Linked DNA regions of Oryzias latipes. The main gene of each other region encodes a partner of the protein of the gene in region 2 in a complex. Links are inferred from orthologs where the notes say so. Each region holds a gene or a part of one and is shown on either strand. Other genes may lie near its edges.

The links. The genes of interacting proteins can lie anywhere in the genome.
Region 1: rbm15b (region 2) and wtap share a complex: the UniProt entries of both Homo sapiens proteins name them as parts of the WMM complex. The link is inferred for Oryzias latipes from reciprocal best matches to the Homo sapiens genes RBM15B and WTAP.

Annotation. Positions count from the first base shown.
Region 1 is NC_019882.2:7,319,611-7,326,079, forward strand, and holds the end of wtap (pre-mRNA-splicing regulator WTAP), read right to left. Parts: intron 5,996-6,469; coding exon 5,817-5,995; intron 3,791-5,816; coding exon 3,636-3,790; intron 3,562-3,635; coding exon 2,903-3,561; 3' UTR 2,341-2,902; downstream 1-2,340. Other genes in the region: acat2 (acetyl-CoA acetyltransferase, cytosolic), read right to left, coding at 49-168, 245-388, 480-597, 668-849, 916-1,050, 1,907-1,955. UniProt on the Homo sapiens protein: Associated component of the WMM complex, a complex that mediates N6-methyladenosine (m6A) methylation of RNAs, a modification that plays a role in the efficiency of mRNA splicing and RNA processing.
Region 2 is NC_019863.2:6,225,703-6,232,465, reverse strand, and holds the start of rbm15b (putative RNA-binding protein 15B), read right to left. Parts: upstream 3,761-6,763; 5' UTR 3,202-3,760; coding exon 709-3,201; 3' UTR 1-708. UniProt on the Homo sapiens protein: RNA-binding protein that acts as a key regulator of N6-methyladenosine (m6A) methylation of RNAs, thereby regulating different processes, such as alternative splicing of mRNAs and X chromosome inactivation mediated by Xist RNA.

The sequences.
Region 1 (6,469 bases), on a different chromosome or scaffold from region 2:
AAAAAACTCCAGAGATGAACCACTACATGCACACAAGTCGCTGTTCACCTGAAGCGTTTCCAGCAGTGACCGTCCCACTGTCCTTGATGAAGCAAGGTTTGAGTTTGGCCATGCTCTCCATGTTGCTGCCATGTCGAGGAAACTCATCCACCTTCACCTCCACTGGCCCTGGTAGTGACATATATATAGTGAACTCCATCTGTTCACTTAAAAGAGTGCAGAAAAGCCTCACTGAGGGGCCTACCTTTTCTGGACGGAACCATGATGGGGACGATCTCCTGATCGAAATGCCCTGCTTTCTGCGCAGCCTCCGTTTTGTTCTGAGACTGAACAGCGAAGCGGTCCTGCTCCTCTCGGCTGATGCCCCACTGCTTCGCCACGTTCTCAGCTTAAGGATTCATCACAACGCATTTATTTAGATTAAACTCCAGCACACACACACACCGACTGTCCTGCAGAACTGCTCTATTGATCGAGACCTGTAATGCCCATGTGGTATCCCTGGAAGGCATCTGTTAGTCCATCAGCAACCATGGAGTCCTGGAGAGAAACGTCTCCCATCTTCACGCCTGCTCTCATTTGCACTGTATGAGGAACCTAAAAAGAAACAAAAAATATTGTTGAGAAGGCTTCCTAAACTTTTATCAACACTGCTATTAGTGCGTACCCTGCTCATGCTCTCCATGCCTCCTGCGACAACTACAGTGGACTCTCCTGCTTGGATGGATTGAGCTCCCAGACACACAGATTTCAGCCCAGAACCACACACCATCTGGCAGCTCCATGCTGGGACAAGATATGGGATACCGGCCTTGACACTGGCTTGTCGTGCAGGGTTCTGCCCTTGCCCTGAAACAAAGAAAAGTTTGGAATTTGTCTCCAGTCTGAAACTCTACAGACTTTTCAAGTATTTACCTGCAGTTAAGACTTGGCCCAAAACAACCTCAGAGACCTCTTCTGGTTTCACTCCAGCTCGCTTTAGAACATCCTTAATGACTTCTGAACACAGGTCACTTGCAGACAGTGTGGACAGAGCACCGTTCAGACATCCTTCATTAAACAAAGAAGTGATGACAATAGGCTATAAGGAGTATTGTCTGTTTTAAAACATAAACGCCTTTAGTCAACACCAAATACAAGTTCACTGAGAAATACTAACCTTAGGAATAGCATTGACCAAATAAAAGCACAACTAACAAACCAATACAAACACACAATTTTGTTTTTTAATTAACTATTTTAGTTAAATTATTGCATTGAATTATTTACACTGTAGCAAGTTCTTTATCACATTGCCTTAGAATGAATCTTTTGAACTTTACTTCAAAAAAATAACATGACTAAAGAAGATTCACTTGTTCACATTCCTTCATCATGTTTGTCCTCTGTCTGTCCAGGCTGAACTTTAAAAATAAATTAAATGAGAAAAAGGCGATGGAACTAGTGTGTAAAAATAATAACAATATTTAAACTTTATGTTGTTATAAACTTACAGTTTAACGGCTCTATCTTTTTTTTCCAAATTATCGTGATTCAATAAAAGGAGTAAAGATTAGAGCCCTACGTCACACAGACGTTCAGTGAACAGCCAATCATAGCAAACTTGTGTTCCGTGGCCCTATGACTGCCAGCCAATCAGAAACAAGAGAAAACTGCGGACACAGGAGCTAGCCAATCGTAACTTTGCAAATACACAGCGCGTTGGACACAACCACCTTCCTATTTACAAAAGACACCTTTAACATGAAGGAAAGTACCACAAAAAAGTACATGATAAGCGTAAAACCAATTCAGTTAGAAATGCAAAATGTTTTCATGTTGTGTTGGCTTGACAAAATATTCGAAATATGATTCACGGGACTATGAAATGAAAGAAATCATGGTAAATATATATGAGCTACGTTACCAATTGGAGTACGTGCAGCAGAAACAATAACAACAGGCTCGGCGTTCATCTTGTTCAGAATGCTGGAGTAGCTTTAGTCTTCAGGAAATCTTTCTGTCAGTTCACTTACACACGACTCAGTTGATACTGAACTGAATGAACGAACGCATGAATGGTATTTATGCAAGTCCCTTGATATGAGAAACAGCGCCACCAACTGGTCTGGAGGATTCATAGCAAGTCTTTGAAAATGAACTTCCGTAAATACTATTTACAATACTGTTTTCATTCTTCAGGGATGTTTAAACAACCCAAATGGTGCATAAAAAAAGTTTATTAGCTTTGCGTTCATATTTTTCTCTCATAAAAATAACTACTTGAATGTGTTTAATTTATACTTATGTAATTTTGTACTTCATGATAGGTGCCAGTGACAAATATAACGAGTTCCCCCATCAAAGTATTAGAAATCTTTATTGTTTTTGGTCAGTACATAAAAGGGTTGAAGTCAGAATATGAATGACACATATGAACTCACATTTTAGAAGTCTATCAAACATAACTTTTTCCAATTTAAAACAAAAATTGTATTTAAAAAAACCAACCAAGTAAAAAAAAAAAAAAAAAAAAAGAGGCCAACATAAAAATGACGTTCTTGCTTTCTTTGTATTGGTGAAACTACTGTCATTCAAACACCTTTTGAAATGATTAACAACACCAGATGCTGGATTTCAGTGTCATGAGCTTAACGGCATAGATGATGTGCCCAAATAAACACCAGTGAAACCTCAAGTTTTTTTAAACATAAATCCCACACAATTCAAATTGAACATTTAGTGTTTGTTGTTATATCCCTGTTAAGCTACACAAATGTAACAAAGGCATCAAGATACACAATGGGACAAGAGTGAAAAAACTTCTTGGACAGCAGTGCTGCATCACATACTATTTAGCTTTTGTCTTGTTTGTAGATTGTATAAAAAAAAGACAAAAAAAGACAGTACTTTCTAAAGTACATTACAAATCGGCACCAGCGTTCGTGTTGCCCTCCAGGCCATTCTGAGTGTTCCTTGACCCTGCAGTCCTAGCGCCTTTGGTCACCAAGGCAGTCTTGTCTTCATGGGGATCAGTGGTCGAGTCTGTGTCATTCGAGTGCTGAGTTAATGACGTCTCGCTGCCTGTTGGAGAGTCCACGCTCTCGTAGCCCGCACTCAGCTGGTTTCCGAAACCCACAGGTCCTCCAGCTCTCCTGGAAGCAGTCTGACTGCCGGGGACCTCCGATGAGTGGTTGGAGAGTTTGGTCTCAGCGTCACCAGGGCTGGACACCATGGGGGACATTGGGAAATCTTCCTCAGTGCTACTGACTTCCCGGTATAAGTTGGGTGGGGTGGTGGTCTCCCTCCTCTGAGATGACTTACCATTGCTTGGACCATTGGACACCCTCCCGTAGTCTCTGCTTGTTGCTTCAGAGGCAGCGCTGGGCTCCTGTATTGTGGACAGCTCAGCAGATGAGTTGGAAGCAGCGGGTGAAGTCCTGCTGGGCTCTGCTCCGGCTGAGAGCCCCTGAGACTGAGAAATCAGCTGACGGGATTCTTTCAACTGTTGCTGCAGGACAAGGATGGTACTCTGCATCCCCTCCACCTCCTCGTCAAGCTGGATGATAAAATCATTCAGCTCTGAAAGTAAGAATAAGCTTAGTTTAATCTATGCACAGAGGACATTTGGGTACGGGAGCTTTTCGTTTCCTCACCATCTTGACTGCTCTTGAGCTCCTCGCTGTACTTTTTCTGCAGGGCCAGCTCAGCCTCCAGCTGGGCAATTCGTCCCTGCGATAGCTGCCGCCCCAGCTCCTGGTTTTCCTGAATCAGCATTCGACATTTGGCCATCAGTTTCTTCCCTGTTTGGCTGTAAGGGAAACAAGTCTCACATCACACAGTGAACCAAGTGAAAACAGGCAGAATGTTAGCATGGACCTGTTCCTCTTCACTCTCCAGCTGTCCAAGGGTTTACCAGGAACTCCTCAATGTCATTAACAGCTATTATTAAGCATTTTCATTCCATCAGTTAGACGTCTGAAGTAACCTAAACATGCCGTCTGATGCCTGTTCAATACAGACATATGAAACCATGAACCTAAATGATGCTCTGACTTTTAAGGCATTTCGATTCTATCGTTTTACTCTAAACTACGTTATTGTGTTATACATAGAAAACGGTTAATACTAAAAAATAAAGGCATGAGAAAATTAGAATCGGAAATATTTCAGGATGTGGAAAAAAAGTTATAAACAAAGCACAGTCAAATCTTGATTTAAAAAAAAACCCACAAAAGAACCTTCAAACTTGAAATCTTTGTTGAAAAGGTCATGCAATCCTTTTTTTTTTTAAAAACATAAAGAGCAGTTTTTTTCACAGTACAGTTAGCTCTTGATACTGCTGGCTTCACAAAAAGTCTGAAACAGTACGGTGACATGTCATTGTGCCCTACTCAAGAAGCCAAAGTGAATCCAAAAATGACATGTAGACCATAATTAAATGTCTTCCATTCCCTTTATATTAAATTAAGTCACCCATACCAAGTACAGAGCCTTAATGTTATATCAACAACAAAATAAAAACTTCCAAAGTTTTTTATCATCATTTTCAGTAATTCTAACTTTCATCATACTGGTTTGAATTTGAAGTTTTCTCTTTCCTGTGTTGAAAGAAAATGTTTGTAAAACCCCTATAAATGTCAAACATTTCTTATCTCACCTGGTGAGAACCGTGACTTAATTATTTTAGTGTACAAACAAAAAGTCCACAAGTATCTCACCACACTGGCGATGAAAAAAAATAAAAATAAAGAGTAACTCTTTTGTTATTAAGCTGTGGGGAAAATGATTAGGTCAATCAAAAACAGTACACAGAATGAATAAATACATCTCGGTCAACTCGTAACACAATGTGCCAAGGACATTTGCAGTTTACAACTCAGTTACTGGACTCAACACACCTACGGCAATAACTGGATATGCGATCATCCCAAAGTGTCACTTGTGCAAAAAAAAAAAAACATTCACAACAAAGTCAAAGAAGATCGTCGTGCTGCAGGATTCACACACTGCAGTAAGAGTCTAAGGGAAACAAGAAGGATCAAATGGAATGTCAATCAAAGAAAAAAGAAAAGAAACAAAAAACACATTACAAGGTTAAAACAAAAGTACACTACCGTGTGCAGGCCCGTGTTCAAAGACAGCAGACCCTCACGCCTGAACGTGGTTCTTCTGTCAACTTGCTCCGCTCAGTCTTACTGTCATTTCTAATGTCTCTGACTTTTAAATTCTAGAGACTTTCCTGGTGTTACTCAAATGTATCTGAGAGTCCAAAAAGTCTTTCAAATTCTCAGGACAGCTACTGTTTATGTGAAGCAATCCACAGTTTAAATGTCTTTTTTCTTTTTAAATGTCTTTTAAATGTTCGATTGCCGCTTTAGGCTAGGGATGCTCCCTGCCGGACACAACTTCTCCCATGACCCCCTACTTAATATGTGAACTGTCTGAGGGGGCATGGAAGGCAGTTCCATGTGGAGAAATGAGAGACCACCTCTTCAGAGCAGTCCGGACTCCATCGGGCCCTTTGGACGGCGGGGGGATATAAGAGGAGAGAGCCGAAACAAGTGTCACCTGACCATACTGTCTTTTCTCTTTAAATTGTGTGATGTGTAGCTGGCACGGTGCGAGAGTGCAAAAGCAGTTTGGTTTGGGAGTGTCTGGATTTCTGTCAAGTCTGAGCCTCGCGGTGAGCACAGCTTTTGTCAGCCTCTCCCCCCCCCCACCATTGCTCCTGCATGCCTGCAGTGAGAGTGAGGTTGGGGGACGTGAGGAAGTCTTGACTTTTTTTTTGTTTTGTTTTTTTTTTAGGTGGGGGGAGATATTTTGATTGTCTTTACCTATCAGGTGTAAATTTCCAGGCACTCAGTTCATTTTGGGCCTGCTCCAGTTTGTCTTTAGTCTGTTCCAGTTCAGCCTTCATTTTGAGGAAAAACAAGTTGATGGCTGGATCCACCATGGACGACCGCAGCTGGGCTGCACTCGGCTGCTGGACTTGCTTCAGGTACTGGATCTGTGTCTGTAGGAGGCAACAGGCAGGTGTTAGAGTCCAGTCACACACATTATGAAGCTGCTTTTAACACCTAAACATCTTCCCTTTAAAAATGTAACAAAACTGCTTTCAAATAGATCAAAATCTAGGCTAATCTGCGTCTAGACGCTTAGTTTTAAGTCCCACTTCGATCCTCTTTTGAGTGATTTTAAAAACTTTCCCAGTGGTCTTGTAATTACGCTTATGTTGTTTTTAGAATCAGAATCACTTTATTGATCCCACACATGGGAAATTTGTGTGTTACAATAGCATTGTAATCTTAAAAGGAAATAGAATATAAAAACAAAGTAATTGTAGAAAAAAATTATGTAAAAAATATCTTTATTTTAAAGGACATATTTTCTGCAGAAAGGCAGTTGTTCGTTAGAAATTTGCCTCTGCTTCTCCACCCATTTGTTATCGCTCTCTCCTGCTAGCTTACAGCCCTTCACAGACTCAACC
Region 2 (6,763 bases):
CTGAAATGGTTTGATCCCATCAAAGTGCTGACATGTGATGACAGAAATTAAAACGAGTAGTTCAAGTGTGGATGGACTGACAGATTAAAAACTGAAGTTTGAAATGTCCACAATAAAAAAGAAAAATTGAAACAGTACGACTCGAAAATATTTTTTTAAAACGTCTCCACAAGGTAGTTTACATCTTTATCCATAGAAATTCATTCTAGTCCATGCAACAACAGAGAAAACACTCTGGCACCATAAAAAGCAAAGTGAAGTGTGGAATGAGCGATCTGATAAAAACACCGGCGGAGTGGTTAGGACGGCCGGGACTCTGTCTACTGGCCCAGGAGCCTTTGAACTATAAATAAAAAGTTGGTAGAGTCCAGAGAGGAGAGACTCGATCAGCCGGCATCAGCTTACAGTCCAGCTGCTCTGCAGAAAGTCTCCATGTCACTGGAGGTGTCGGCACAGGTCAGGTGACACCAGGATACAAACACATAAAGTATGAAGCATAGAAACCATCAGGCTAGGCATTAGTGTTCTCAGTTCCACCTGAAGCAGAAAGGGCGGCGTGCTGCCTGTCGGGGCGACGACCTTTCTGCTTTTTTTAATTGAATGCGTCCCGGCGTGACTGTCGGAGGGGAACCTCGACAGAGGAGTCAAAACACGCCCCCCAGCAAACCATGGAAGGACTTGTAGTGTGGGACTGAGCCGGCACCAGACTCAATTAGTGTCGCTGACGATCACAATGACCATGTGCTCCTCGTCCAGATTACCCACAGTCCTCCGGGCAGCCTGCAGGAACTGCTGTGAGAACTCACCGGGGGGGAAGGCGTACAGCATCCCACCCGTGCCCCCCTCTTTGGTGGCAGGCAGACCAACCACCCCCGCCGCCTCTTTGTTGCGCAGGTATGTCACCAGGTGCCGGAGCAGACGTATCTGCAGTCCCGGCTCAGGGGCGGGGGCCTGGCGGTCGATGGCGCCCTGCAGAGCCAGCAGGATGGCAAAGCCGTCAGGGCGGCCGAGCTTGATGCGGCGCGACACCTCGTCCAGCCGGGTCTGGTCCATGCGCAGGCGCTGGGCAATTTTCAACTGGCTTGGCTGGTTCCGGTTCTGCAGATTCAGGCTGTCCTTCAAAACGCCGCTCAGGAAGGAGGCCCCTCCCTCCAGCATGTACAGCTCCGTGGGGAAGCTGCTGTTCTTCAAGGCAAAGAAGCCCTGCCACACCTTGGTGAGGGAGCCCTGGGCGTACTCCGACAGCGAGCTCAGGGTGGACGAGGTGTCCGTGTGGGCAGCGGGGGGGCTGGCGGCGGCCACGTCGCTGTTTCGATGGTGGTTGTTGACGCTCGCGGACCTCTTGCTGTGGTGACGGCTGGATGGGGGCTCTTCCTCTGTGGCATTTGCGTGTCGCCCCCCTCCACCACTGTCAGGGGAGTGGTCTCTTGGCTCAGTGGTGGAGTCCGGGGCTCGAACCCGTGCTCGGTCTGGGCTTGCATCAGGGGAGGCGGTGCCTCCCGGAACTCGAACCCTCGACCTTCCCTTTTCTTTCTCCTTTTCCTCCGACTGCTTGTCGACAGACAGACTTCTGCTTCTCCTGCGGCTCCTCCTCTCCTCCCTCTCCTTCAGCCAGCGTTCCCTGCTCCTGCTGCGGCTCCTCGCCCCTCGGCCAGCTCTTCCAAACGCCTCCACTCCTCCCACCCTCCTGTCCAGGCTTCGGGTGGGGCTGCTGGGAAACTCTCTCTCCAGCAGGACCCTCTCTCTCAAAGAGAGGAGGCTGTGGGAGGGCGGTGAGGAGCGCTCCCTGGTTCCTCTCAGCTCGCGCTCCAGGCTGCGATGGCGACTGTAGGCCTCTCCAAGGAGGTCATAATGCGTGGGGGGAGGCACAGGAAGCTGGTAACCAGGGGGAAATGGGCGGGAGGGGCTCTCCTCCACTTTAGCAAAGTCCACCCTGAGGCGGCGCTCTGGCCCGCCCAGAGGAAAGCCCCTCATCTGGGTACAGGCGGCCTGGGCTGCATCCAAACTTTCATACTGGATGTAAGCAAAGCTGTCGCCCTTCACATAGTCAATGTTCCTAATGCTTCCAAAGCGGTCAAATTCCCGCGCCAGAGCGGTCAGCGAGTTTCCTGGTCCCAGACCGCCCACCCACAGTCGGGTGGTGGGGTTGGCTTTGCCGTATCCGATTTTAATTGGGTTTCCACCAATAAGACGGCCCTGCATGGCCACTTTGGCCCTGTGGGCCATGTCAAGGTTCTGAAACTTTACAAAGGCATAAGCCCCGCCCTGGCCGCGTGCTGGCCGTTTGATGACCACGTCCTCAATGATGCCGTATTTATCAAACCCTCTCCTGAGTTCAGCCTCCGTCACATTCCCGTCCAGGTTTCCGATGAACAGGTTGCTGGTGGCCCTCTGGTCATCCTCGGGCTTCAGGTCCTCCACTACAGGCATGGGGGGGAACGCGTAGGGCCGCCCCCTCTCATCCAGCATACCATAATAGTCCAGCAGCCTTTCCCGGTCTCTGCTCAGACCCAGGCTCTCCAGCGCAAAGTGTCTGGCCCGGAGGTCCCGCATGCTGCTCACGCCGGTCCCGGGTGGGGACAAGGAGCGCTGTCTGTACGGATAGGGGGCGTGTAAAGGTAGATAGCTGACGTCCGGGGGGGTGACGCTCCGCCTCCTAACGTACATGGGCTCTATTTTGAGCTGTCTATCACCCAGAGCCAGCCGGGAGGACTTGGCGTGCCGGGCCTCCTTGGCGTCCTCCGGCTGTCTGAAATTGACGTAGGCGATGCGGCCGAGCTCCGGCGTGTGCGACAGCTTCACGCTCACGTCCCCGAACTTTTTGAATTCGTGGAACAGCGCGTCCTCGACGTCCTCGTCCGACACCTGCGAGCCCAGGTTGCTGATGAGCAGCGTTTTGTACTCCAGCGTGCCGGGTCTCGCGGCGGGGAGCTCCGCGGCCCGCAGCGGCGGCCGGCCCAGGAGGCTGAGCTCGTGTCGGTGGTGGAGCTCCAGCGCGGCCGCGCGCTCCTCCCGAAGGCGCGGCTTCTCCCGCTCCCTGCTGCGGCTCCGCCGGTGGTAGCTCCGGCTCTCCGCCAGCAGCAGAGCCAGCGGCGGCGGCGGCGGCAGCTCCTCTCTGCGGGCGCTCTCCCGTTCTCTCTCTCGAATCCGCTTGGCTAGGGCCCTGGATGGGCTGCCGTCTCTCACGGCCTGCCGCTTCATTTTCCAATAATGATGGAGAGTTTCAACTTTTTTTCCGAGCCTGCAGCGGAGATCCGGCGCTGCTGCGGATTCCGGGAGCGTTAGCTCGGAGACGGCGGCGGCGCAGGCTGCTTCGGTTAGGGGGCGCTTCCAGAGCGGGCTCCGAGTGGTCACACATTTACGGGGAAAAGAGGAGAAGCCTTTAAAAACATGTCAGCATCACAAGAGCTGCACCAGCGCCGCCATCTTGGACAATAGGAATGTGCGCGTTCCCAAAGGAGGGCGGAGCCTGTAGTGACGCAAGCACGTTGCACGTTTTGATTTGAAAACTCCTGCATACCAAATTGTCCTTGTTTATTAGGTTTATCCATTTTTCAAAGGAAATCAAAATAACACAGCAAGCAGATGATACTGCATTATTCTTAATAGACAGAAACCACATTGACCTTGATACAAGTATAATTAATTATTTTTCAAACGCTTCTGGATTACGTCAATAGAGATTACGTCTTAGTTTAGTTAAATGTCAAATATTATTAAAAAGTTAACCCTCGTGCTAACCTATGACCCCACCCTTGCATTGACGTGTTCTTCCTACCATGACAAAGGTGGATAAAGGTGGAAAGATTTCATGTAATCCATGGACACCAGTGAAGATCACAAATCATTGAAGAAAAAAGGTTCAGAGCACTGTCTAGTGGGTCTAGATGACCCAACTCCCAATGTTAAAGTGCCTAGGATAGCACAAAGGTTAAAATGGTTAAAGAAAAACATGGTATCCCTGTTAAAAATGTAGTTACATATTTAGGCACCAGTATAACAATGGACAGAAAATCTAGACAAACACAAAACTTCTCCTTGAGAATTAGAAAAAATGCAAGATGTCATGAATATGTGGCTTCAAATAGATCTATCTATTTTTGGCGGGATCCTCTTGGCTAAAGCGAAAGGTATCTCAAGAGAAATTTCTCCTAATCTATCCTTATCTTTACTTCTGTTCAACTTCCAAAGAAATAAACAACCTCTTAGTTAACTTTGTATGGAAAAATAGACGTCACTATCTTCAGAAAGAACTATTTTATGCCCCCTCATGCAAAGGAGGTTATGAACTCCTACATTTCTCAGATTTGAATTATACATTTAATGGTTACTGGATTCAAAAAGGCCTTTAAGACTCAAAATCAATTTGGTACTTTATCCCATTTAATATTTTATAATAAAATCGGGGGTCTTCAATTTCTTTTTAAATGTAAATATCAGAAAGACTCCTGTCAATCTTTAAAATTTGTATCTGCAAGTTTTGTCGTGCCTGGACGTTATGCTATGCACATTATTTCTCACCAAACAAAAGTATAACTTGGAACAATGATGATATAACCATCAAAAATTTGATCTTTTTGATGAGAATGGCAGCCATCGATTATGACAGGTTCTTCAATAAAATGTGTTTTCCAGTAACAAGCAAAGAATTCAAGAGTGTAATGAAAGCTCTTGTCTCAGGAGTAATTCAACTACTGACTTCTAACCTTAAATATCACGAGGAATCTGAAATACACCCTCCTTTAACACTTAATGGTATTGATATTTTCAATCAAAAAATTGCAACAACAAACACATAATACTTTTAGCGAAAAAAGAAGCATAACACCTAAAGGAGAAATTTATTGGAACCATATTTTAAATTATATCAATTGGAAAAAAAGCATGGTTACTGCCAGATACATTTTGAATAAACAATAAAGTTAAAGAAATACATAAAAGAATTTCAAATAACATTTACCCCACAAATATGTTCATTTCTAAATTCTAAAGATAGATAGAAAATAACTGTAGTTTTACTTAAATCAGTTCATCACCTTTTCTACTGTTGTACATCCTTTCACTTCTGGATCCGTTTAGAACAATTTAAAGAAACAAAGTAAACTAATACATTTCAAACAAATTCTACACATTTTAACTTTGGTGATAAAATGGTAGAAAACGTTATTAATTTGTTGCTTCTCCTACCTAAATTTTTCATACAAAAGGGCAAAGTAAGAGAAAAAAAACTCCCAAATTTACTGGATTTAGGATAAGAGATTTGTCAAATTTCTTAAAAATATTAATACATCCAAGGCAATTTTTTGTAAACATAATTTTTTTACCTATACATATATATTTAATGTTTTAATTTCGTACTTGCAAATTTTCCTTTTTGTTAACTATTTCCTCATTAATCTTTTATATTCTGTATTTCTTTTTTTGAAAGATAATATTGGTTATTGCTATCTGATGGTCTGCTTGGTGATGTGATGATGTGTACTTTAATACAGTAAAAAAAATACGTACATAAAAAAAGAGTAGTCTACATGTGGGGAGCATTGAAAAAACAAAACAAAAGCTGCCTTTTTTTTTGTTGGCAAAGAGGGAAAACAGATCAATAGAGGACACTGCATCTTATGGGGTCCAGATGACCCCACCCTTACATTGACGTGTTCTCCCTACCATGACAAAGGTGGAAAGATTTCATGTAATCCATGGACACCAGTGAAGATCACAAATCATTGAAGAAAAAAGGTTCAGCGCACTGTCTAGTGGGTCTACATGACCCAACTCCCAATGTTAAAGTGCCTAGGATAGCACAAGGCTAGGATAAATAGTGCCTAGAATAGTTAAGGAGGAATTAAAAGGACAATCTGCGCCTGCTGAAACTGTCCAATAGTGGATGTTTTTCATGTACTGTGGTCATATGACGTTTAATTCTGGTTTTCGACTATTTTAACACTCTTGTCATTGTTGTTTTTATATTAGATGTACTTTTAATTAGCTCCCATTTAATTGGTTATGATTTCTTGTTTTCAATGACAATGACAGCAAATTATTAAATGTTTGAAAGTTTCACTGACCAGAGTACTGTTTAAGTTGGGTTTTACCAACGATGGCAAATAAAAACCTATGTACCTAGACCAAACCCTCACCAGGAAAACTTTTGGGACCGTAGTCTAAGGGAGGAATTCTTTTTATTCATTTTCAAAGGACAATTAATAGTTTTCTGACAAACCACTTTCCCTCTGATCATCGGAATTGTTGATTTACACCTTTTCTCTTAGTATTTGACAGAGAATGTCCCTTAATCCCAGGTGAACACCATGTGGTCCTTCAGGTACACTTGTTGCTGGGAGGTCATGTGGATCTTCTAGTTTGTGCATTTAGTGCTAGACCAGTAATCTCCTTTCAGAGTAGTAGGTTGATCATTTTGACTGGTATCATTATAGTCCAGTTTTTCATATTTTAATGAAAAAGTAGAACAGCTGTACAAATGACTTGAATGCATGTTCAGCGACCATTTGTTGTGTCGTTTTACACTTCAGTTTCCAAACCCAAGTTATTCATTTGACGGAGTTCAGGTCAGGTGAACAGAGCGGTGGCAGCTGCTCGTTCCCATTCCCACAAGGCTGTGCGATCGATACAGACGTGTTCTCCTGCTCCTCAGGAATCATTGGCCCCTGAAGACTGACTGGTTGGGTTCATGTAGTGGAGAGAGTTGCTCTCTGGACTGAACAGAAACTCTTAAAGCTTCATGAATATTTTACCTATGCGTTAG